Macaca fascicularis: one gene and its partners. The protein of the gene in region 3 purifies or fractionates together with the protein of the main gene of each other region. This does not show direct contact. Links are inferred from orthologs where the notes say so. Each region holds a gene or a part of one and is shown on either strand. Other genes may lie near its edges.

Evidence for each region.
Region 1: the proteins of RBPJ (region 3) and FBXO42 purify together in Homo sapiens (affinity purification with mass spectrometry; 3 studies listed by BioGRID and IntAct, counting the BioPlex papers as one, with this or other methods). This does not show direct contact. The link is inferred for Macaca fascicularis from reciprocal best matches to the Homo sapiens genes RBPJ and FBXO42.
Region 2: the proteins of RBPJ (region 3) and MAML1 purify together in Homo sapiens (co-immunoprecipitation; 12 studies listed by BioGRID and IntAct, counting the BioPlex papers as one, with this or other methods). This does not show direct contact. The link is inferred for Macaca fascicularis from reciprocal best matches to the Homo sapiens genes RBPJ and MAML1.

The regions. Positions count from the first base shown.
Region 1 is NC_088375.1:218,760,381-218,767,619, forward strand, and holds the start of FBXO42 (F-box only protein 42), read left to right. Parts: upstream 1-3,054; 5' UTR 3,055-3,276; intron 3,277-7,239. UniProt on the Homo sapiens protein: Substrate-recognition component of some SCF (SKP1-CUL1-F-box protein)-type E3 ubiquitin ligase complex. Specifically recognizes p53/TP53, promoting its ubiquitination and degradation.
Region 2 is NC_088380.1:186,604,877-186,612,077, forward strand, and holds the start of MAML1 (mastermind-like protein 1), read left to right. Parts: upstream 1-3,016; 5' UTR 3,017-3,165; coding exon 3,166-3,507; intron 3,508-7,201. UniProt on the Homo sapiens protein: Acts as a transcriptional coactivator for NOTCH proteins. Has been shown to amplify NOTCH-induced transcription of HES1. Enhances phosphorylation and proteolytic turnover of the NOTCH intracellular domain in the nucleus through interaction with CDK8.
Region 3 is NC_088379.1:25,564,613-25,571,290, forward strand, and holds the end of RBPJ (recombining binding protein suppressor of hairless), read left to right. Parts: intron 1-203; coding exon 204-344; intron 345-1,375; coding exon 1,376-1,531; intron 1,532-1,888; coding exon 1,889-1,992; intron 1,993-2,161; coding exon 2,162-2,477; 3' UTR 2,478-6,384; downstream 6,385-6,678. UniProt on the Homo sapiens protein: Transcriptional regulator that plays a central role in Notch signaling, a signaling pathway involved in cell-cell communication that regulates a broad spectrum of cell-fate determinations.

The sequences.
Region 1 (7,239 bases), on a different chromosome or scaffold from region 3:
AAGGTGCTGGGATTACCAGATTATCAGGTGCTGGTGAGCCACCGCACCCGGCTGCATTTTTTTTTTTTTTTAAGAGGTGGGGTCTCCCTATGTTGCCCAGGAGGGAACTCCTGGGCTCAAGCAATCTGCTCACCTTGGCCTGCCAGTGTTGAGATTGCAGGCATGAGCCACTGTGTCTGACTTCTGGGGCCTGTATGTTAAACCTGCACTCAAAACTTCAGGTGCTTTCGGTACACCACATAAAACACTTTGATGCTAATCAGAATACAAGCTCAAAGCCCATCATAACTTTGTATCTGATGCACAAGCTGAAGCTATATAGATAGTTGTGATACGTAAATGGCAACTTACCAATATTGAAAATGTGCAGGCTGGGCGTGGTGGCTCACCCCTGTAATCCCGGCACTTTGGGAGGCCAACGCAGGCGGATCACCTAAGGTTAAGAGTTCGAGACCAACTTGGCCAACATGGTGAAACCCTGCCCCTACTAAAAATACAAAAATTAGATCTGGTGCGGTGGCTCACACCTGTAATCCCAGCACTTTCGGAGGCTGAGGCAGGTGGAGCACGAGGTCAGGTGTTCAAGATCAGCCTGGCCGGCATGGTGAAACCTCGTCTCTACTAAAAATACAAAAAGTTAGCCAGGCATGGTGATGCGCACCCGTAGTCCCAGCTACTCAGGAGGCTGAGGCAGGAGAATTGCTTGAACCTGGGAGGTGGAGGTTGCAGTGAGCCGAGATCATGCCACTGCACTAGCCTGGGTGACAGAGTGAGACTCTGTCTCAAAAAAAAAAAAAAAGAAAAGAAAGAAATAAAAAAAAATAATAAGGCCAGGCGTTGTGGCTCACCCCTGTAATCCCAGCACTTTGGGAGGCCTAGGTGGGCGGATCACCTGAAGTCAGGAGTTGGTGACCAGCCTGGCCAACATAGTGAAACTCTGTCTCTACTAAAAATACAAAAAATTAGTCAGGCGTGGTGGCAGACGCCTGTAGTCCCAGCTACTCTGGAGGCTGAGGCAGGAGAATGGCGTGAACCCAGGAGGCGGGGCTTGCAGTGAGCAGAGATCACGCCACTGCACTCTAGCCTGGGCGACAGAGCAAAACTCCATTTCAAAAAAAACCAAAAACTACATTTGGCAAATAGCAAATTGGTTGAACCCAGGAGGCGGAGGTTGCAGTGAGTCGAGTTGGTGCCACCGCACTCTAGTTTGGGTGACAGAGCAAGACTCTGTTTCAAAAAAAAAAACATAAATAAATAAAAATAAGTAAATAAATAAATAAATAAAAACTACATTAGTTTGGTGCAGAAAGACTGGAAACTTGAAGTGGGGGCTTTCACGTTATAGGCAGATTTAAAAACTGTCTGATTGGCAATGAGTTGAAAGAGTTATCAATAGGCCTGGTGCGGTGCCACACGCCTGTAATCCCAGCACTTTGGGAGGCCGAGGCAAGTGGATTGCTTGAGCTCAGGAGTTTGAGACGAGCATGGGCAACATGGTGAACCCTGCGTCTACAACAAAATGGAAAAATTTGCCAGGCATGGTGGTGCCCGCCTGTAGTCCCAGCTACTCAGGAAGCTAAGGTAGGAGGACAGCTTGAGCCCGAAAGGCAGAGGTTGCAGCGAACCAAGAACTCATCACTAGACTCCAGCTTGGGCAACAGAGCCAGACCCTGTCTCAAAAAAAAAAACCTTATTATCAATAGAAATGAATGTCTGGGTTATGATAAGGGTTGTGGACACTAAAGTTTCATCATGCATGTGAAACCTCCAGGTGGCAGGCAGGCTCCAGAGAGAATAGATTGTAAATGTTTCTTTTTTTTTTTTTTTTTTTTTGAGACGGAGTCTGGCTCTGTCGCCCAGGCTGGAGTGCAGTGGCGCCATCTCGGCTCACTGCAAGCTCCGCCTCCCGGGTTCACGCCATTCTCCTGCCTCAGCCTCCTGAGTAGCTGGGACTACAGGCGCCCACAACCGCGCCCGGCTAATTTTTTGTATTTTTAGTAGAGACGGGGTTTCACCGTGGTCTCGATCTCCTGACCTTGTGATCCGCCCGCCTCGGCCTCCCAAAGTGCTGGGATTACAGGCGTGAGCCACCGCGCCCGGCCTATTGTAAATGTTTCTTAACAGTCTTAAGGTCTGTTGTGTTGATGTCAATGCTGGAGGGTGTAATGAGGCATGTCTTATGTCCCGCTTCCTGTCATGGCCTGAACCATGGTTACATTTTAGACTGCCCTGGCCTAGGAGGAAGTCCATTCGGATGGTTTTGCGGGGGGGGGGGGGCCTTAGATTTTTTTTTTTTTTTTTTTTTTGGCTTACAGAGTTTAGATGGAAGCCTTCGACTCTCTATCTGGCATTTCCTTAGACCATATGCTGTAGGGCTGGGCTCATGAAGGTTCTCACCTACACACCAGCTTGCTCCCTTGAGAAGGGGGACTTTGCTGGATCCTATCCCCTGGTGATAGCCAGTAGGAAGTAAAGGAGCTTGGGAACCAGACATGCCTGAGTTTAAATCCTCTTTCCCGCGCCGCCCACCTTCACTGCTAGGTGTGTGACTCTGGTCAAATAACTGATCGTTTTCTGTGCCTCAGTTTCCTCATCTTAAAAGCGGAGCTAGTAAGAACTCACACAGTGGTTGCTACGAGGCTACATTTAAGGGAGGCTTCTCTTGCACACCTCAGGCAGAGTTTCCCTCCCCTTGGCAGTATCCATGGGCACTTACATCGGCCACAGCCCTCTGTGCTCATCGGGCCCTCGGGGTAGAAGTGAGTTAATTCCTGGCTAAACGTTAGTCTCAAACCACTGGAAAAACCACCCAGTTGCCCCAGACAGTTCAGCGGAGGGTGGGTGCGGCTATGAGGCGACGCTAGAGACGCGGCGAAGGCGGGTGCGGAAGCCTGGCTACCCCGACCGCCTTCCACCTTCCAGAGAACCTCAGTCTGTGACCACAGCCCTTCTGAATATGGCGCCGCCGCCTGGCCGCCCCGCGACAGGCCGCCGCGCTGACGTGAGTGCGCGCGCGTCCTCCGCGCCCGCCCCGGCGCATGCGCGCTCTGCGCTGTCTTCTCCCGGCCTGAGCAGCAGCAGCTGCGGCGGCGGCGGCGGCGTTTGAGTGGAGGAAGATGGCGGCTCCGGGCGGCTCGGGGTCCCGCCAGCTGTGAGGAGCCCCGAGCACCGCTATCGCGGCCTGACGCAGAGCGCCTCTGCTCTGGCCCTGTCCCTGGCTCCCTCATTACCTTCGCCAGCGGAGCGAACCCGAGAGCGTGGAGCGGGCTGGGCCAGGTGAGGCCTCTCCTCCCCGGGCCGCGGTGGGGAGCCGGCGCCTCATGCCCTTTATGCCCGGGACTGGCAAGGGGCAGCGGGCGCCCGGGGTCTGGCGCAGGCCCCGTATCCTGCGCGGGGGTCGGTCCTGGTTGGGTAGGGTGCCTTGCTATCGCCGTCCTCGAGTGAGGCGAGGAGGAGAGGTCCTTTCCAGCCAGCCTTTTGGTCGGGAGCGAACCCACCCCCCTCTCCTCAGCAGGGTGGTTCTCGTCCCCTCACCCAGGCAGTGAAGGGGTCTGTGGCCCGGGCAAGGATGGCTTTAGGGTGTCAGATAATCCTTTCATTCCTCCTCCGAACCTTTCACTCCTATGCGAGAGGGGAGCCGGGGGTCGGGTGCGCATCAAAATTGGGGCTGCGGCTAGGGGCCAGCATCTCTGAACCTGCAGCTGCAAAGGGATAATTTTGGAATTGGTTTACGTTAAATAAAACACAAAAGGCCTTTCCTATCCCCTAGCTTGCTGCATGTTCCCCTAGAGAAATGGGAACTGCGGATTTCCTTGCTTGAGACAGCAATCCATGCTGTGAATGTGGAAGGCTTCTCTTGGCGAGAATTGTGTGTGCAAAGGGAACGGTGGAGGGTGGGAACGAATTTGTAAGCGAAGAGGAAACGATTGTGAGATCTTGATGGTCGCTGCAGAGTAACTTCAGCCCTGAGTTCGTTTGAAAGCTTCGGATTGTTAAGATTCAGAATAATCAATTGTTTTGTCTGTTAAATCTCCCGACTTCTATTAGGAAAATAAAAGCTTCATTTCTTAATTGCCAGCGTCTTTGAATTTTTCTATGGTGGGATTCTGATCGATCTAGATGAAAATTCTGATACATTACCAGTTCATACTTGCTGGCAGCGACATTGTAACTATGTTGTTCCTTTTTGAGAACAACTTTTGTTGTTGTTTAAATGCTAATTGGGAGACTTCGATTGTGTTTCTGTCATGTAGGGAAGTCGGTTTGAAGCCTTGTGGTCTCTTCCTTGAGGAATAATGACTTCATTGCACTTGCATGGGAAATTGTTGAGGCATTTGCTTTTGCTTGGACACACGAAAATACCTTTTGTAACAAATTGGCTTTATTTGTACTTAAGAATGATGACATCATGGATTTAAAGAGACAAGGAAAATTTGGAGGAAGTACAGTCATTTAGAATTGAACATTTAGAATTAAGTCTGTAGCTCTTACGGCCATTAGTGATGCTGTGTTAAATTGCTAACTTTCAGTGTATTCATATGTGTAATCTGATTGGATGTCTTTTCTATTGTATGTTGTCATTTTATACCCAGTAACTGTTGGCTTTTGACAAGCCAATATAAATACATGATTCAATCTACATTGATCCATAGGCATGTGGCATATCTTAAAAAGCTTTTCACTGTTAAAATGACAATTGTTTTAGGTTATTATTTGACCATTTTCTCTCTCTCTCTTTTTTTTTTTTTTGGTTGTCTCTCACTCTGTCTGTCACCCAGGCTGGAGTGCAGTGGCACAATCTCGGCTCGCTGCAATCTCCATCCCCTGGGTTTAGCCATTCTCCTGCTTCAGCCTCCTGAGAAGCTAGGATTACAGGCGTGCGCCACCACGCCCGGCTAATTTTTTTTTTTAAATTTTCGTAGAGATGGGGTTTCACCATGTTGCCCAGGCTGATCTCAAACTTCTGGTGTCAAGCGATACCCTGCCCCACCCCAGGCTTGAGCCACTGCGCCCAGCCACCTCTTCTATTTTTAAATCAAAGACTTTTCCATAGAAATTTGTTGATTTTCTTAGTGTCTTTGTAAAGATGTAAATCTGAACCAGCAGCTTCTCTGTGGTAGAAAATTGGAGAGTTACTTTGCATATCAATTTGCTAATAAAGAGTCATGAAATTAATGCAGTAAAACATCCTGGTGGCTCATCATGCTTCTTGGCATAATATGTTGCACTGTTATGCTAAATCATCATCAGGTATTGATGCAACTTCATGACATCCATGACATCACTTGCTCTCCAGATTTTGACTTTTGCAATTCCTTACCTTAGTTACAAAAAGAACAGGATCAGAAAAAAAATAACTTAGGATGCTTCTTTTTGTGTGATTTCTAGAAGGGTCTTTAATAATAGCTTTATGTAGTTTAAACCCTTAGTAAGATTCAGAGCAGGGTGAGTCCTACCTATTATGGAGAGCAAGCAAAGAAAATGCTAGCAAAACATCTGAATTTTATGAGAATACTGAGGTCCCAAGGAGAAGCTATCTCAAAGATGAACAAATATATAATTATCTTTGTCATTTCAGGATTGTTTTAGTCATTGAATTAACTCTTTTTGAGACGTAGTTTTGCTCTTGTTTCCCAGGCTGGAGTGCAATGATGTTGCTCAATGCAACCTCCACCTCCCAGGTTCAAGTGATTCTTTTGCCTCAGCCTCCTGAGTAGCTGGGATTGCAGATGCCCGCCACCATGCCCAGCTAATTTTTTGTATTTTTAGTAGAGACAGGGTTTCACTACATTGGCCAGGCTGGTCTCGAACTCCTGACCTCAGGCGATCCACCTGCTTCAGCCTCTCAAAGTGCTGGGATTGCAGACGTGAGACACTGTGCCCAGCCCTGAATTAATTCTTTATAAAATCAAAAGCCATTTGATTAAATAAAGCCCTTCCCATGATTGTTAGCGTGGATCAAAACAGATAGTGTTTTGAAAGTGAAATGTAAAATAAAATGTAAATATAAAATTGATTATTCCTATTTATGAACCACCTACTGAGGGCCCTCCATATGGCAGGCATTTTGGGAAGTAGGTACTAATTTAAGACAGCTTTTGGTCTGAAGTTGCATACAGTATGGCTGGGGAGCCAGACAAGGAAACCCGTTAAGTGCTATGTAGTCTAAGAAGTGCACTGAATCCAACCAAGAGAGTCAAGGAAGGCTTCTCAGAGCAGGGATGGCTTTTCCCCAGCCTTTCCTTTTATTCTGCAGAGCCTGCCTTTAGTGAGTGACTTGCTTTTTATAAAAACTTAAAAAAAATTATGTCATGAGTTCTTTTCCCCTTTTATTCATTCACTGTCATGATACTTCCCACACAGTATGCCCCAGTTATGGCTTCTGCATTCTCAAAAATCCAGCCATGTTGGGAAAACCTTTCTATATGAGTCATACACACAGGCAACAAACAAATACCGCAGCTGCAATTAAAATATCTCAGATTACTAAGTGGTGACAACTTTAGAGTGATGGTGCTTTTTTGTTTTTGTTTTGTAAACTAGTACAAGAGGTACTGTGTTTTTAATTTAATGACAATTAATACAGCAAATATTTGTTATTCCTTACAATGTTGATTATAGGTGGTTGTTAGTACTGTCTCCTTTTTCCCAACAATAAATAAGATCTTAATTCCTTTTTGATTGAAGGTGACCGCTTAAGTGAGAATTACACCAAACTTTTTTTTTTCCATGTTTTTTTTGTTTTTGATTTTGTTTTGAGACCGAGTCTTGTTCTATCGCCCAGGCTGGAGTGCAGTGGCACAATCTCTGCTCACTGCAACCTCCACCTCCTGGGTTCAAGTGATTCTTCTGCCTCAGCCTCCCAAGTAGCTGGGAGTACAGGCGCCTGCCCCACGCCTGGCTAATTTTTGTAGTTTTTTTTAGTAGAGACAGGGTTTCACCATATTGGCCAGGCTGGTCTTGAACTCCTGACCATGTGATCCATCCACCTCGGCCTCCCAAAGTGCTGGGATTACAGGCGTGAGCCACCATGCCCGGCAAATTACACTAAACTTTTATAGAATCTTTGTGGATTGGTGTTGCTAGTAGCTTTGATACTGAACTTCTATATCCCAGTACAAGTTATTCACCTTAGTGCTGTAGTTGTTTTACAATTAATTTAGCATGTTGTTGCCTATATTGCAAAAACTTCGAATTTTTGGATTGAGTGGAATTTTTATGTGGCACTGTATTATTGAA
Region 2 (7,201 bases), on a different chromosome or scaffold from region 3:
AAATTACACAATAAAGCAGTCCTGTTCAAATTTTTTTTTAAATGTGGCTTGTAGAATTTTTTAAAAAGTGATCTTAGGTTTTTTCATGCGGAATGCAGATGGGTGCTATCAGAGCCTCTCCCACACCACTATAGTGTAATAATGTTATTATTACTCTACACTGAAACGTATTCAGAGTTAGATGTTATTTTAGCTTTAGTTGTTCTTTAGAGGCTTTCAAATGTACCGATGATACTGTTTCTTGCACTGATTATATAAACACTCCACAGTGTTTATATTGGGAAGATATTGGGAAGGAAATATATTTGTAAAAGATGAAGGCTGTATGTATTTTTTTTTCTTTTTAAACTGGTTCACTTAAATTCTTTAGAGGATGGGATGTATTTTTCTTGCTGAATGTTCAGTGCTTTTTCCTTTTCATTTGTTGTTCTGTGGTCACACTATGACCTTAGCTACATAGCAGACTTTCCCAGATGTATTGATTACAAATAAACAGTTGTTACTTAGCAAGACCTGAAAATATGTCTGCAGGTTTCTCCTTGAAGCAAATGTGTGGGATCATTGCATTTCCAGAAATCTGCCTCCTTCACCCTCCGTTGACAGTATATGTCATGCCTCACTTTCTTCTAGCTGAGCTTTAAATCATTAGAGCTTAAATTGTCAGATCGTTCATTGCCTTTCCAGGGTTATTTAGTAAAGTTTGTTCAAAACAAAAATGCCTTTTCTGGGTTCTTTTTTCAGTTTTATTTTGAAGGTCCAGCTTCCTGATTAAATGTCTGACATATTAATGAATGACCAGCAGCAGCTTTCAGCTCTTAAAAAGACACTTATATTATGATTTTACATGCTGGTTACCTGTTCCATTGTTGTCAAATGCCCACTCTCCATCAGATGTGTTCCTCTATTTTCTTGTCCACAAAGTACTCCTCACTTTTCAATTTGTCACGTTACTAAATGGTGTTACATTAAAGCCCTGTGTTAAGTGTCTGCTTTTGACTGAATTTCTTGATAGTAACCTTCAATGTGTGTGTGTTACTATGTTCAAGTGGGTTGATCTTCCTTTAATTGGCCACTATGTGAAAGTTCAATAATATGCAGAAACTATTATGGACAGTGAAATAATGATTTTGTCTCACCACATGAGTTTGATGCAGTCTTTTATGTTTAGCCCTTTCCTCTTCCTGCCCACATGATTGCAGTGCAGTAGTTTCTGTTGCATAATAGTGTGGACAGCAGCTCAGAAAAGGAGTGAATGCTACTGGTAATTTGTAGATAATATTCTTTAAGACTTGGGGGAACCATTGAACTTTGAAATGTTTATTAGAAAATTCTTTGTTCAGAATCAGACTCCATATTTTACGTATACTTAAATACTTCAGGGATATTGTTGAAAGCCCAGTTTTTTTATGTGCTATTAAATTTTTAGGTTACATACTGAAGAAAAGTATGTACACAGAATGTAGTGCTCCTAGTTACTATTTTTTCTGTTAATGAAATAGTTTAATTCTGGTGTAAAAGTTCTATGTTTGAATGCTAAAAAAAAAAAAAAGCTGGACTGCATTATGGCACTTTTGCCTTGGTGGCCCACCTTCTCCATTTGAAACATTAGTATTTGTATTTTTCTGCTGCGTTTGTATGAAGACATACTTGACTGTTCTCTTGATTTTAAAATAAAACCTCATGGGCTAAAAAGCTAGAGTAACAAATGTTTGAGCTACTGATGGTGTATCTCAGTGTGCAGCCTCCTGCCACCTCCTGCTTAACCTTTTAGCAATTAGAGTGCCAATATCTAGAGTTCCTGATATCCTTTGGCATCACACTACCTAGTTTTAGTACTAACACTGTTTCATTGCTCCAGTCCCTCTATTCCCCCTTGCCTATTAGTTTTAATTATGGGGCATAATTTGTCTTGGTTTGGTTTTGTTGAGTAACTCAGTTTTATCTAAAGGACCAATGTATTTGGCCGGGCGCGGTGGCTCATACCTGTAATCGCAGGACTTTGGGAGGGCGAGGTAGGCAGATCACCTGAGGTTGGGAGTTGGAGACCAGCCTGACCAACATGGAGAAACCCCGTCTCTACTGAAAATACAAAAATTGCCGGGCGTGGTGGCTCATGCCTGTAATCCCAGCTACTCGGGAGGCTGAGGCAGGAGAATCGCTTGAACCGGAAGGCGGAGGTTGCAGTGAAACGTCATCCTTTGCATTTCCAGTTCCCTCTAATGGAGCTGGACTCCTGCATGCTTTTGCTCACATCTTCTGGACTTTTTTAAAAAGTAGTGAGTAATACTGCACTTTTGAAACTTGCTCGGGCTTTTATAAATAGGTGGAAACTGACTACCAGTGATTCGGGATGGTGCAAGAGGAAACTACCAGCTCACTAGACGATTCTGACCAATTATGGGGCTGGATACAAGGAATAAGGTCAAAGTAAAACGGCTGAAGTTAAAATAGCATGGTTACTTAGAGTTCATCAAAGTCGAAATTTGAAAGATAAAAAGAAAGCTCTCTGTACCGCCAGGTGGGCGACGGGGACGGGCCAGCTGCGCCGCACCCGCCTGCCGGATTCCCGTTTCCTCGGGGGAGCCGGAAGGACCTGCCTTCAGCGGGCGACGTGCAGGAAACCAATAGCCGCCTCTTGGACGGACTCCTGTCAGTCACGCTTAGCCCCGCCCCCAGGACTAAGGCCCGCCCAGGGGCTTCCCTCCGCCCTTCGCTTGAGAGTTCCTTTTAAATACAGCTCTGGAGCCCGAGCGCGCCTCTTGCGTGCTCGTCCCCACGCCCTCGGGCGGCCGGTCCTTCCTTCTCTGATTGGCCGGGGCCCCTGCTCATCAGCCGTGACGCACTAGGTCTCTTACCAAGGCCCCGCCTTCTTCCGAGAGGCCCGAAAACAATTTTAAGATGGCGGCCGCGGAGGTAGCGCGGAAAACAATGGGGCCGGGGCGGTGGGGACAGGCCGAGGCTTGAGGTGGGCAGCAAGCGCCGGCTGGGGGTCGGGCCGAGCGGGGCAGGAGGAAAACCCGCCGCCGCGCGCGAGCCCGCTCCGCTACCCTCGGGGGCATGGCGCGGCCGTGAGGCGTACAGAGGTAGCCGCGGGGAGCGAAGCCCGCAGTGCCAGCCGGCCCCGAGAGGCCCGGCCCCGGGCCCGGCCCGTGCAGCCCGCGGCCCATGGTGCTGCCCACCTGCCCCATGGCGGAGTTCGCGCTGCCGCGGCACAGCGCGGTCATGGAGCGCCTTCGCCGGCGCATCGAGCTGTGCCGGCGCCACCACAGCACCTGCGAGGCCCGCTACGAGGCCGTGTCGCCCGAGCGCCTGGAGCTGGAGCGCCAGCACACCTTCGCCCTGCATCAGCGCTGCATCCAGGCCAAGGCCAAGCGCGCCGGCAAGCACAGGCAGCCGCCCGCCGCCCCGGCCCCGCCGCCCGCCGCCCCGGCCCCGGCGCCCGCCGCCGCCGCCGCCGCCCCGCGCCTGGACGCCGCTGACGGCCCCGAGCACGGCCGCCCGGCCACGGTGAGTAGGGCGCGGGAAGGCGCTTGTCGGGGCGGCAGCCCCCTCTCCCGAAAACGCTTCCTCTGACGAGGATCGGGCCGCTGGGAGACTTCCCCAGGCATCCGCGACTCCTGGATCTGGCTGGAGGGAGGGGAACATGGCAGGGAGCTGAGAGGTTGTCATCTTCGGGAAGTAGCACGGTGGCGTTACTTTGGGAAAACAGCATCGTGAGGGCCTTGCAGGAGGCCCGACCTGGGAAGGCTGGCGAACGCTAACCGGAGGGTGTTTCTTCCAGACTTGATTTCAGGATGTTGAGATCTTTATTCGAAATAGACTAGCATTCGAGTTGCCTGTGATGGAGGGAGTTCCTGCACCGTAGGCCTGGCCTCATTTATTCTGCAAATGTTTATTGGGTCCTTGCCCTTTACAAGATCCTGTGCTGTAAGCAGGGTCAGGGCTTTCTTATGGAAATAAGTCGGCCTTCGGTTGACCAACTCAAACTTCTCTGAATGGAAAATCAAGAAATCTGTGGAAAACTTAGTAAAACGTTCAGTGAGTTGCATATGAGTATTCCTTGTTTAGGTAGCCTGAACTTTGTGAACTTGAGATTCCTGCAATATTATTGACAATTCTAGTTTTAATTTATCAGGCCTGTTTAAAATCTCTAATGATGTTAGATTGTTGGTCAGTTATTACTCCCTTTGGGCTCTCAGTAAATGTTCCTGAAATTTGTTGGTTAGAGGTTTTTCTCCCTGAAACAGATTCACAAAAGAGACAAGATTTTTCAACGGTTGTCTTGGGGATTTTAGTTTAAAACAAATGTTAAAATCTAATTTGTTCTGTGTATTTTTAAATTCATACCTTTATTATCTCTCACCTGGGCTATTGCAGTGCCCGTCCCTAGCTAACTAACGAGTCTTTAGGCATCTAGTTTCTTTCTCTCTTCCTCTCGAAATGCTAGAAATCCTTCTATTGCTTGAAGGGATGAAGTTCAGAGTCTTTGGTTTGGCAATTGGGACCAGTCCTAACCTATCTTTTAATGTCTCTCACAGGTCCTCTGCTCTGGTTGAATTATATTTCTCATTCTCTTCTCCACTAGCCTTGATTGCTGGGCTAGAAGGGAAAAAACCACTCAGATTTCCTTGCTTATTGTATCAACTGGTCAAGGCTTCTCATCTTCGCTTTTGTCATCTGTAAACTAGGGGCATGTTGGGCTTATTATCTCCCAGTGTTCTTTCCCCGCCCTCCTCTCACTCTGTTGCCCAGGCTGGAGTGCAGAGGCACAGTCATGTCTCACTGCAGCCTCAACCTCCCTGGCTCAAGACTCCTCAATCCTTCCGCCTCAGCCTCCTGAGTAACTGGGACCACAGTTGCACACCACCACGCCTGGCTAAATAAAAAAAGTTTTTTTTCTGTTAGATATGGGGGTCTCATTATATTGCCTAGGCTGGTCTTGAACTCCTGGGCTCAAGTGATCCTTTCTTCCAGCTTGGCCTCTCAAAGTACTGAGGTTATAGGCATGAGCCACCTCACCCTGCCACCCCCAGGGTTCTTTTAAAAATAAAAAGAAAGGAGTGTGGACTTGAAAATACAGTATTTCATACATTTAAAGACTGCCTGTGGGACCCTCCTTCATGCCTTTCAGAATCCTGCCACCCTGCCAGTCCCAGCTTATCTCTTTCTTCTGCCTTAAAGCTAGTTCCTGAGCACCCTAACTCACAGCAGTAAGAATCTCCTTTGTCAAAACATTTAGGAAACATATTGTCTATGCTATTTATTTTATTTATGTGTTTATTTATTTTGAGACGGCGTCTTGCCCTGTCGCCCAGGCTGGAGTGCAATGGCGCGATCTTGGCTCACTGCAACCTCCGCCTCCCGGGTTCAAGCGATTCTCCTGCCTCAGCCTCCCTACTAGCTGGGACTACAGGTGCTGGCCACCACGCCCAGCTAATAATTTTTATATTTTTAGTAGAGATGGGGTTTCACCATGTTGGCCAGGCTGGTCTCAAACCCCTGACCTCAGATAATCCACCCGCCTCAGCCTCTCAAAGTGCTGGGATTACAGGCGTGAGCCACCGCGCCTGACCTATTTATGTTTTTTGAGACGGAGTCTTGCCTTGTCGCCCAGGCTGGAGTGCAGTGGTGATCTCTGCTCACTGCAACCTCTGCCTCAGCAATTCTCCTGCCTCAGCTTCCTGAGTAGCTGGGATTACAGGCACACACCACCACACTCGGCTAATTTTTGTATTTTTAGTAGAGACGGGGTTTCTCTGTGTTGGCCAGGCTGGTCTCGAACCCCTGACCTTGTGATCCACCCACCTTGGCCTCCGAAAGTGCTGGGATTACAGGTGTGAGCCACTGTGCCCAGCCTGTGCTATTTATTTTTAGCACATGGTCACTTATTACTTTAGGTCGAATCTTTCCAACTAGACTGTCAGCTCTTGGAGGCAGGGAGGGCTTGGGCTTACAGTTGGGTAGTGCACATCTTAGGTGTATCTTAAGTGCCTGTTTGTTGAGTTATTGATACAAACTTGGTAGTGCTTTACTCAGTAATCTCTCCTCCTATACACTGACCTCAAGCAAGATGATGTAACTTCATGAGCCTCCTTTCATGGCTCAAGAGTAACAACTCTTGTAAGGCCTTTTTTTTTTTTTTTTAAAGGAGTCTTGCTTTGTCACTAGACTGGAGTGCAGTGGCGCCATCTCAGCTCACTGCAACCTCCACCTCCCAGGTTCAAGCAGTTCCCCTGCCTCAGCCCCCCAAGTAGCTGGGATTACAGACATGAGCCACCACGCTCGGCCTGTGTTAGGAAGGACTTTTAAGAGTAGTTTGTGGTCATTGCAATTGAAGGAAATAATGAAAGCTCATAAAAATCATAGTTTTATACACAAATAGTTGCCTTGAACCCTCCTTAGAAAGTATATTAGTGGGGGCTGGGCGCAGTGGTTCACTCCTGTAAATCCCAGCACTTTGGGAGGCAGAGGCGGGCGGATCACCTGAGGTCAGGAGTTCAAGACCAGCCTGGCCAACATGGTGAAACCCCGTCTCTACTAAAAATACAAAAATTAGCTGGGCATGTGATGTGCGCCTGTGGTCCCAGCTACACAGGAGGCTGAGGGAGGAGAATCACTTGAACCTGGGAGATGGAGGTTACAGTGAGCCGAGATCGTGCCACTGCACTCCAGCCTGGGCAACAGAGGAAGACTCTGTCTCAAATAAAAATAAAAAATAAAAATTAAAATTAAAAAAAAACGTATATTAGTAATGATTCAATTTTGTTTTAAAGTTATTCTAAGAATTTAGACCCTGTTTGATTTTTTTTTCAGTCCTGAGTCAGTGGAGGAAACTGGGCATGCTGTTTGAAGAGAAATTAATTCTGAGTGTGTTAGAATTTGAATCTAATTTGTCAGTCATTCCTTTTAATGTCAGAGCTTAATCAGATGTGCCATGTTAAGGTGATGTCTTTTTATCACATTAAACCTTGATCTATGGATTTCTTGAGTTTAAACTCTACAGTTGGATGTGCTTTTCTGTGTCTCTGCTAGGAAGAGGGACCCTTTCCACTTGGACTCCGAGTTACTCTAGCTGATCTCTTTGGTCTTGGAATGGGGTCGTAGGAGTAGAAGATGAGTGTCATTAAGAAAACAGTGGCTCCTTCAATTCGGGGGGAAGAGAGCCCTTGAGTGTGTAGGACTTTGGCTTGGAGAAAACAGC
Region 3 (6,678 bases):
CTATATTCTGACCTGCTTGCAATCTAAAAGTGTTTTTTATTCCTAGTCTTTTTGTTTGTGAATGTTTTTATATATGTAGGCATATGACAAATAACTGATGTAGTATTATACAGTATATAACTTCTATGTACTTTTGATGTTGTACACAAGGAAAATCCTTTCCATGTATTGATGACCTTTTATTTCTTAATTGTCAAATGTAGATAATTAGGAAAGTTGATAAGCAGACCGCATTATTGGATGCAGATGATCCTGTGTCACAACTCCATAAATGTGCATTTTACCTTAAGGATACAGAAAGAATGTACTTGTGCCTTTCTCAAGAAAGAATAATTCAATTTCAGGTATGTTTTTAAATTACTGGTGAAATCTAAAATATACGAACTGTGAGGTTAGCATCTTGCAAAAATATGAAATTTTCATTTGCTGTTAATTATATACAAATACATGAAGCTATACACAGATAGGGATCTCAGGTATGAGCATCCTTAACACACAATCCTCAGACATGCAAGCAATCCTTCCTCAAGGAAGAACTCAAAATTATGAAAATGTTCTCAGAGAAAGAGTTAACATCTAGTTCTAGGGTTCTTAATTGAAGAACAAAGAGCCCCTCAGGATATCCAAAAATAGATTTTCAGTGCTCATTGAATCTTCTGAAATTGTGTGCAAACATTGTATAGACGAAGCATTTTTCTGGGTGAAGGCTCAAAATCTCATCAGATTTACATCGTGGTTTCCCAAGATAGTAACGATGACATGCTTTAAAAGCTAATGTTTTACATTTACTCAGAAGGCTTTCATGAGGTTATGACATGGGCAGATGATTTAATAAGATAGTCACAGTTTCATGTGAAACTCCTTTCCAGAGAGATGGCCACACACACACTGATGGGCATGCTGAGTCCCTGGTCTAGGTGTGTTAAGGAAGGGGTAGGTGCTTTGCCTTCCCATCTTGATTCCCTCCTATGGAACGTGCATAAGCTTATAGCTGTTGCCTAAGCATGAGGACCCCCATTCTCTTTCTTAGGAGTTCCCGAAGAGTTTTAAACAGCCATTTACATCACAGATATTGATCTGCTATTAATGAAATTTCTACCTGCATTGGTGTACTCATGGTTGCTCTGAAAGTTATTATTATTTAATATGTCACTGAAATAGTTTGTATTATAAGAAAAACTGCTGTCTGTGGGGTTTCTGTATTAGTATTCTGTTTGTGTTTATGTAGGGATGGGCAAAGCACCATGCTTTAGAAAGTTTATAAGTTTTTACTGAATTCTCTTAACTCTTGTCTGAGGGTTACTTTGGTAAAATTTTCTTATACTCTTAATGCAAACTGTATAAAACTTAGTTTCTAAACTTCTTTCTTTATTAGGCCACTCCATGTCCAAAAGAACCAAATAAAGAGATGATAAATGATGGCGCTTCCTGGACAATCATTAGCACAGATAAGGCAGAGTATACATTTTACGAGGGAATGGGCCCTGTCCTTGCCCCAGTCACACCTGTGCCTGTCGTAGAGAGCCTTCAGGTGAGACTGCCTAGTCTAAGTTGGCCTTTAGCTCTTTGCAGCTACTCTCAGCTATGACTTGGCATCATTTCATTTCATGGGAGTTTTGATTTTTCTCCAATTGTGTGATTTGGGGATTTTTATATTCACCATTTGTTGATTTTTAAAAAAACAAAATAGGAGGAGCGTACTTGCCAGAAAATTTAAATTTAAATAAACTTGTGTGTTATCTTGAAATGTTTTTAGCTAGCTTTGTAATAAAAAACATTTTAATTGCCCTTTTTTTTTAAACAAATGAAGTTGAATGAGAATCTAATTTGTGTACTTTAATGAAAAATGAAAAGTTTTCTCAGTGTTGTGATTTTCTATGAATTGCAGTTGAATGGCGGTGGGGACGTAGCAATGCTTGAACTTACAGGACAGAATTTCACTCCAAATTTACGAGTGTGGTTTGGGGATGTAGAAGCTGAAACTATGTACAGGTACTTGATAAAACTTTTTACATCATCCAGAGGTTGTGAGGGGTGTGGGTACAGGAGATTCTTTCCTGGCATTGATTGTAATGTGTTAAACAACCTTGTCTTAAGTCTCATTTTTAACATGTACTTTGCTTTTTAAAGTGCTTTTAAGTAATTTATATTTCCTCCTCAGGTGTGGAGAGAGTATGCTCTGTGTCGTCCCAGACATTTCTGCATTCCGAGAAGGTTGGAGATGGGTCCGGCAACCAGTCCAGGTTCCAGTAACTTTGGTCCGAAATGATGGAATCATTTATTCCACCAGCCTTACCTTTACCTACACACCAGAACCAGGGCCGCGGCCACATTGCAGTGCAGCAGGAGCAATCCTTCGAGCCAATTCAAGCCAGGTGCCCCCTAATGAATCAAACACAAACAGCGAGGGAAGTTACACAAACGCCAGCACAAATTCAACCAGTGTCACATCATCTACAGCCACAGTGGTATCCTAACTACCGTCTTTTTGCTAGGACTTAAACTGACTTGAGTGTGGCAAAAAGTCAAAAAAGGAGAAAAAATGAACAATCTTTTGTGGTTTCTTGGGAACTTTTCATACCAGGTGATACTATTCAAAAACCCCGTTATCTCTCTGCAAGTGCTGATTTGAAATGCAGAAGCCACAGTTTAAAAAAAAAAAAAAAAAGTCAAAATGTACAAACTATTGGAAATCAAGTTTTTCAGCTGTTTGGTTGGTTGGTTGGTTGGTTGGTTTTTGTTTGGTTTTGTTTAAATGGGCAAGAAGTAAATAATGTGGCTGGAATACAAGTTGAACAAACTAGAAGACACAAATCTAACACAGTTTTTATGGACCAAGGAACTTGTATATTGTATAAGCTTTAGTAAAAGGTACATTTTCACCATACCTTTTTTTATATCACGGTATTATAGTACACCTTGTTACCAAATAGGTTGTTCTCTTCCCCACTTACCTTTGAGCTTTTGCTCTAAAATACATTCAGGTTCCAAGCCTGACCATGCTTGTTTAATCTAATTGTCATACTCTTCCAGGTTTTTTTTTTGGTCTAGGCTGGAACTTTTTTCTTTTATTTTCAGCTGAAGTCTTATGACTTTTCGTGAGTCAAAATTGTTTGGATTTCAGCAAGTCAAATCTTGTAAAGGCCTATGTATTTTTTTTTAAGATTATATGAAGTCTGTGCAAAAGCTTTAAAAAAAAATGCCTCTGCCTTGCCTGCAATACATGCAATGTATGTTAACTTAGTCTCTCTTCTCAGACACTGTTGGTAGTAATTTCTGTGTGTTCCTTTTTTTTTTTTTTTTTAATGGACTTATAGTGGTTATCCAAGAGGTTCTAACATTCACATGCAATTTGGTGTGGCCATTTAGCCATTAATGAGTTAATGGCACAGAACATGTTGATATTTGAAGTGTTTTCTCCCCTTTTCCCATAACGTAAATACATAATGTGTGTTCCAGGATTTGTTCAGGTTTTTCCCCCCTCCTAATCTTGTACATAACTTGTATTATGTGTAAGTTAAACATTTTATTTTGAACTTGGAATGTTCCTAGTGATTTCATTCAGCAGGGTATTTTCTGCCTTGTTGGCAAGTGACAAAAAATATGGGAAGTATTTGCTACCAGTTGGTAGATGGTGCCCTTATGGTAGAATGAGGAAAATGTCAGCAAAAGCATGTTTTATTATCTTTACTTTTTTGGGGGGGGGTTGAAGGGGGTAGCTAGCCAGAACATCATTGTAATCTTAAAACATAAGATGCTTCTATTAGATGATCAACTAAAATAGCTGGAAGACAGTACTTTAGAAACAGATAGTTGTAAGATTATAAAATGCAAATGTAACTTATGTTTTCATTTTTTTCTCTGCCTTTTTTGTTTGTTTTCTCTTTTCCAGTACTGAGCATCTCCACAAACATCTCCTAACTCAGAAAATGTTTCTTTTCTTTTCAGTTGAGATTTGGTTGCATTCAGGGTTGTATGTTGGCCTTGCATGCTAAACCTGCCAGTTTTACCTTGCTTTCATTCCTGAACTTTGGTTATGCTTTTGTTTGGTTTCTTCGAAATTGCAGCAGACTCATTGGGCTACATTTAGTACAGGAATCACATATGTAATGTTATACGACACAGTCTAGTAATACAATCATCCCTCTTAGAGTAAAAACTACCTCTAGATTGTGGTAAGCTTTTACTGTCCCATAAAACAGGAGCCACAGTACCTTATGAATGCAAAACTGTAACTTCCTACAGTGTTTCCCTACAGAACATTGTCTTTCTGGTGTCCTGGGCTGGTTTGAAAAAGTTTCCATTAATAGACTTTTTAGAAATTATTATTAGTAGCATTTTTTTTTCCAGCTTCGCTGTCTTCATCACTCACTCTATGCTCAGACTATGCCACTGTAAATATTCTTCCTAACATCTTTAAATCGCCTTTTCCTCAGTTTTCAAGGGGAAAGTCATTTGTAAAGCACGTTAGGTGATTAAATCAGTTATTGCAGTTTTCTCTTACTGCAAGCCTTTTTAATCACCCCCAGGCTGCATTTTATTCTGTATCGCCTTTTTTCTTCAAATCTGCTCCAGTCACTCACATCTCTCTTATAAGCTAATCCTGCCTCACACCTTAAATCTGTTTCAGTGATCAAGGGCAGAACTCATTGTGGCCTTATCTTTCTTTGTTGTAACTGTTCACCGTCTCTTTCTTACAGACCGCTTATTTCTGAGTAATAGTTATTCCTCTCTGTGGAGTCATGGCAGGAGTCATTACACAGTGCTTTTGTTCAGAGCATGGACATGTTCCTAGTGCTGCTTTGCTTTAACGGCCACAAGTTTCCTCCACTTCCTAGGTTTGGTATTTAGTTAAGGAATCATATTAAATTAACCAATAACAAAAGAGATACTTTTGAAGAACAAACTATTCCTTACCCATTTTTGTAGCTCAAAAATAATTTTTCAAGTTCATGACTTTGTTAAAATGAACTTGTGCTTTTTAAACAAACGTTTGTTTTATTTTTATTGTTTCTTTCCATAAGATAATTGAAATATTATACTGTAAACCCTTTTCTCTCTCTCTCTCTCTCTCTCTTTTTTTGAAAAGTCCAAGAATCTACTTTTACAGGCATTTTTCCCCACCTATTTTTGGCCATTCTTATACCACAGACTAAAAAGTGAAACGATTTGTCCATTGTAGCTTTTTGTTTATCAGTGGTTTTTTTGTCAGCTGCTTAAATTTTTTCTTTCATGGTTTTGTGAATCATTTTCAGTATGATAATTTATAGGAACCTTGTCCTCTGGTTATAGTAGACTGTGTCCCCTCCTCCAGTAATGGCATTATTAGACATGCTGATCATTTACCCGCAGAAAGACTCTCTTCTTAGAATGGTGAGTGCTTCAGTTATAGTATGTTTGAATTTTTAAAAATTCTGTTTTAGAAATGTATCTTATGCTTTCATGACTTTATGCAATTTCTAAACATACACATAGAAGCTGAGTCTCTGATCCAGTATGTTTTTATTTGTTCCATTTAATTTATCACATAGATTGAGAAGGCAAGCTAAAAGCTTTAAAAATGCCCTTTATATTTTGAGTGATTTCAGAGTTGAACACTAGTATGCTATCTAAATTTGCTGCTCATTTCTTTAATCTGTGGCAATTAAAGGCATCCTTATACATGACTTAATCGTGAAATGTTTGTCACTTTTACTGCACAGACTTATCTGCAATCATAACTGGTTAGTTCTTTTTGTTTTGTTGTTTTTAATGAAACTGGTACCATCTGTGCTTTCACAAAAAACTTCCAATGCCGTTTTTGAGAACTAACCTAACTAGTCATGCTAACCAGAAAATCCACTGGGGAGGAGGTTCCTTTTGAAACAAAATGCTGTTCAGTTAGTAACCAAGTTACTTTGATTTCAAAAGCAGCTGTGTTTCTGATGAGTACTGAACAAATGTGTGTAATTTTCTGTGCCAGACTTACACTTTGTTTTCAAGCACTGCAATGTGGGATGGATGGTTAGAAACAATAATATATTAGGGTTTCTGTTTAACCCTTTCAGGACTGAACTGTATCTCCTTTTGTTAATTTCCCCGTGTCGTGATAAATGTTTGCCAGCATTCAGTACTGTGTTGGTCCAGATGTAGGTTTATATGCTCATTTTTAGCTTATTTCTTGTACCTTGCAGCATGCTCTACGCATTCAGTCCTTAAGGGGTTTATCTTACAAACTGTGCGCCTGTAAGGTTTATTAGCAATAAGATAGAAAATCGAGCAAGTTTATACCATAATTTTGTAGAAAAAAAAGAATCTGCTCAGTTCCATATTTCATCCATGAAAAACTTGCAATATGAGCAGTTTCAAGGAATAAATAAAAAGGAAATGTAAACCATTGTAAAAGTCTTCTGTCGAATGTGCCTGATGCATGTATTATCGTCTTTGATTTCAGAATACTTCATAAAGATAAAATTAAATTCTATATTATAGTTGGTGTATTTACAATCTTACCATGTATATCACATCAAAGTGATAGCTCTACTAATTTAATTTCCATGTCAATGTTTTTAACTATGTAGTGCTTTAAAGAGATTTTTTTTCCCCCATGTAAATGGTGAAATGGGCTTTGTCACTCAAGGGGCATCTCTCGAATCAGAATCATTTAAAGCTGATTTCAACAAAATTGGAGAATATTAT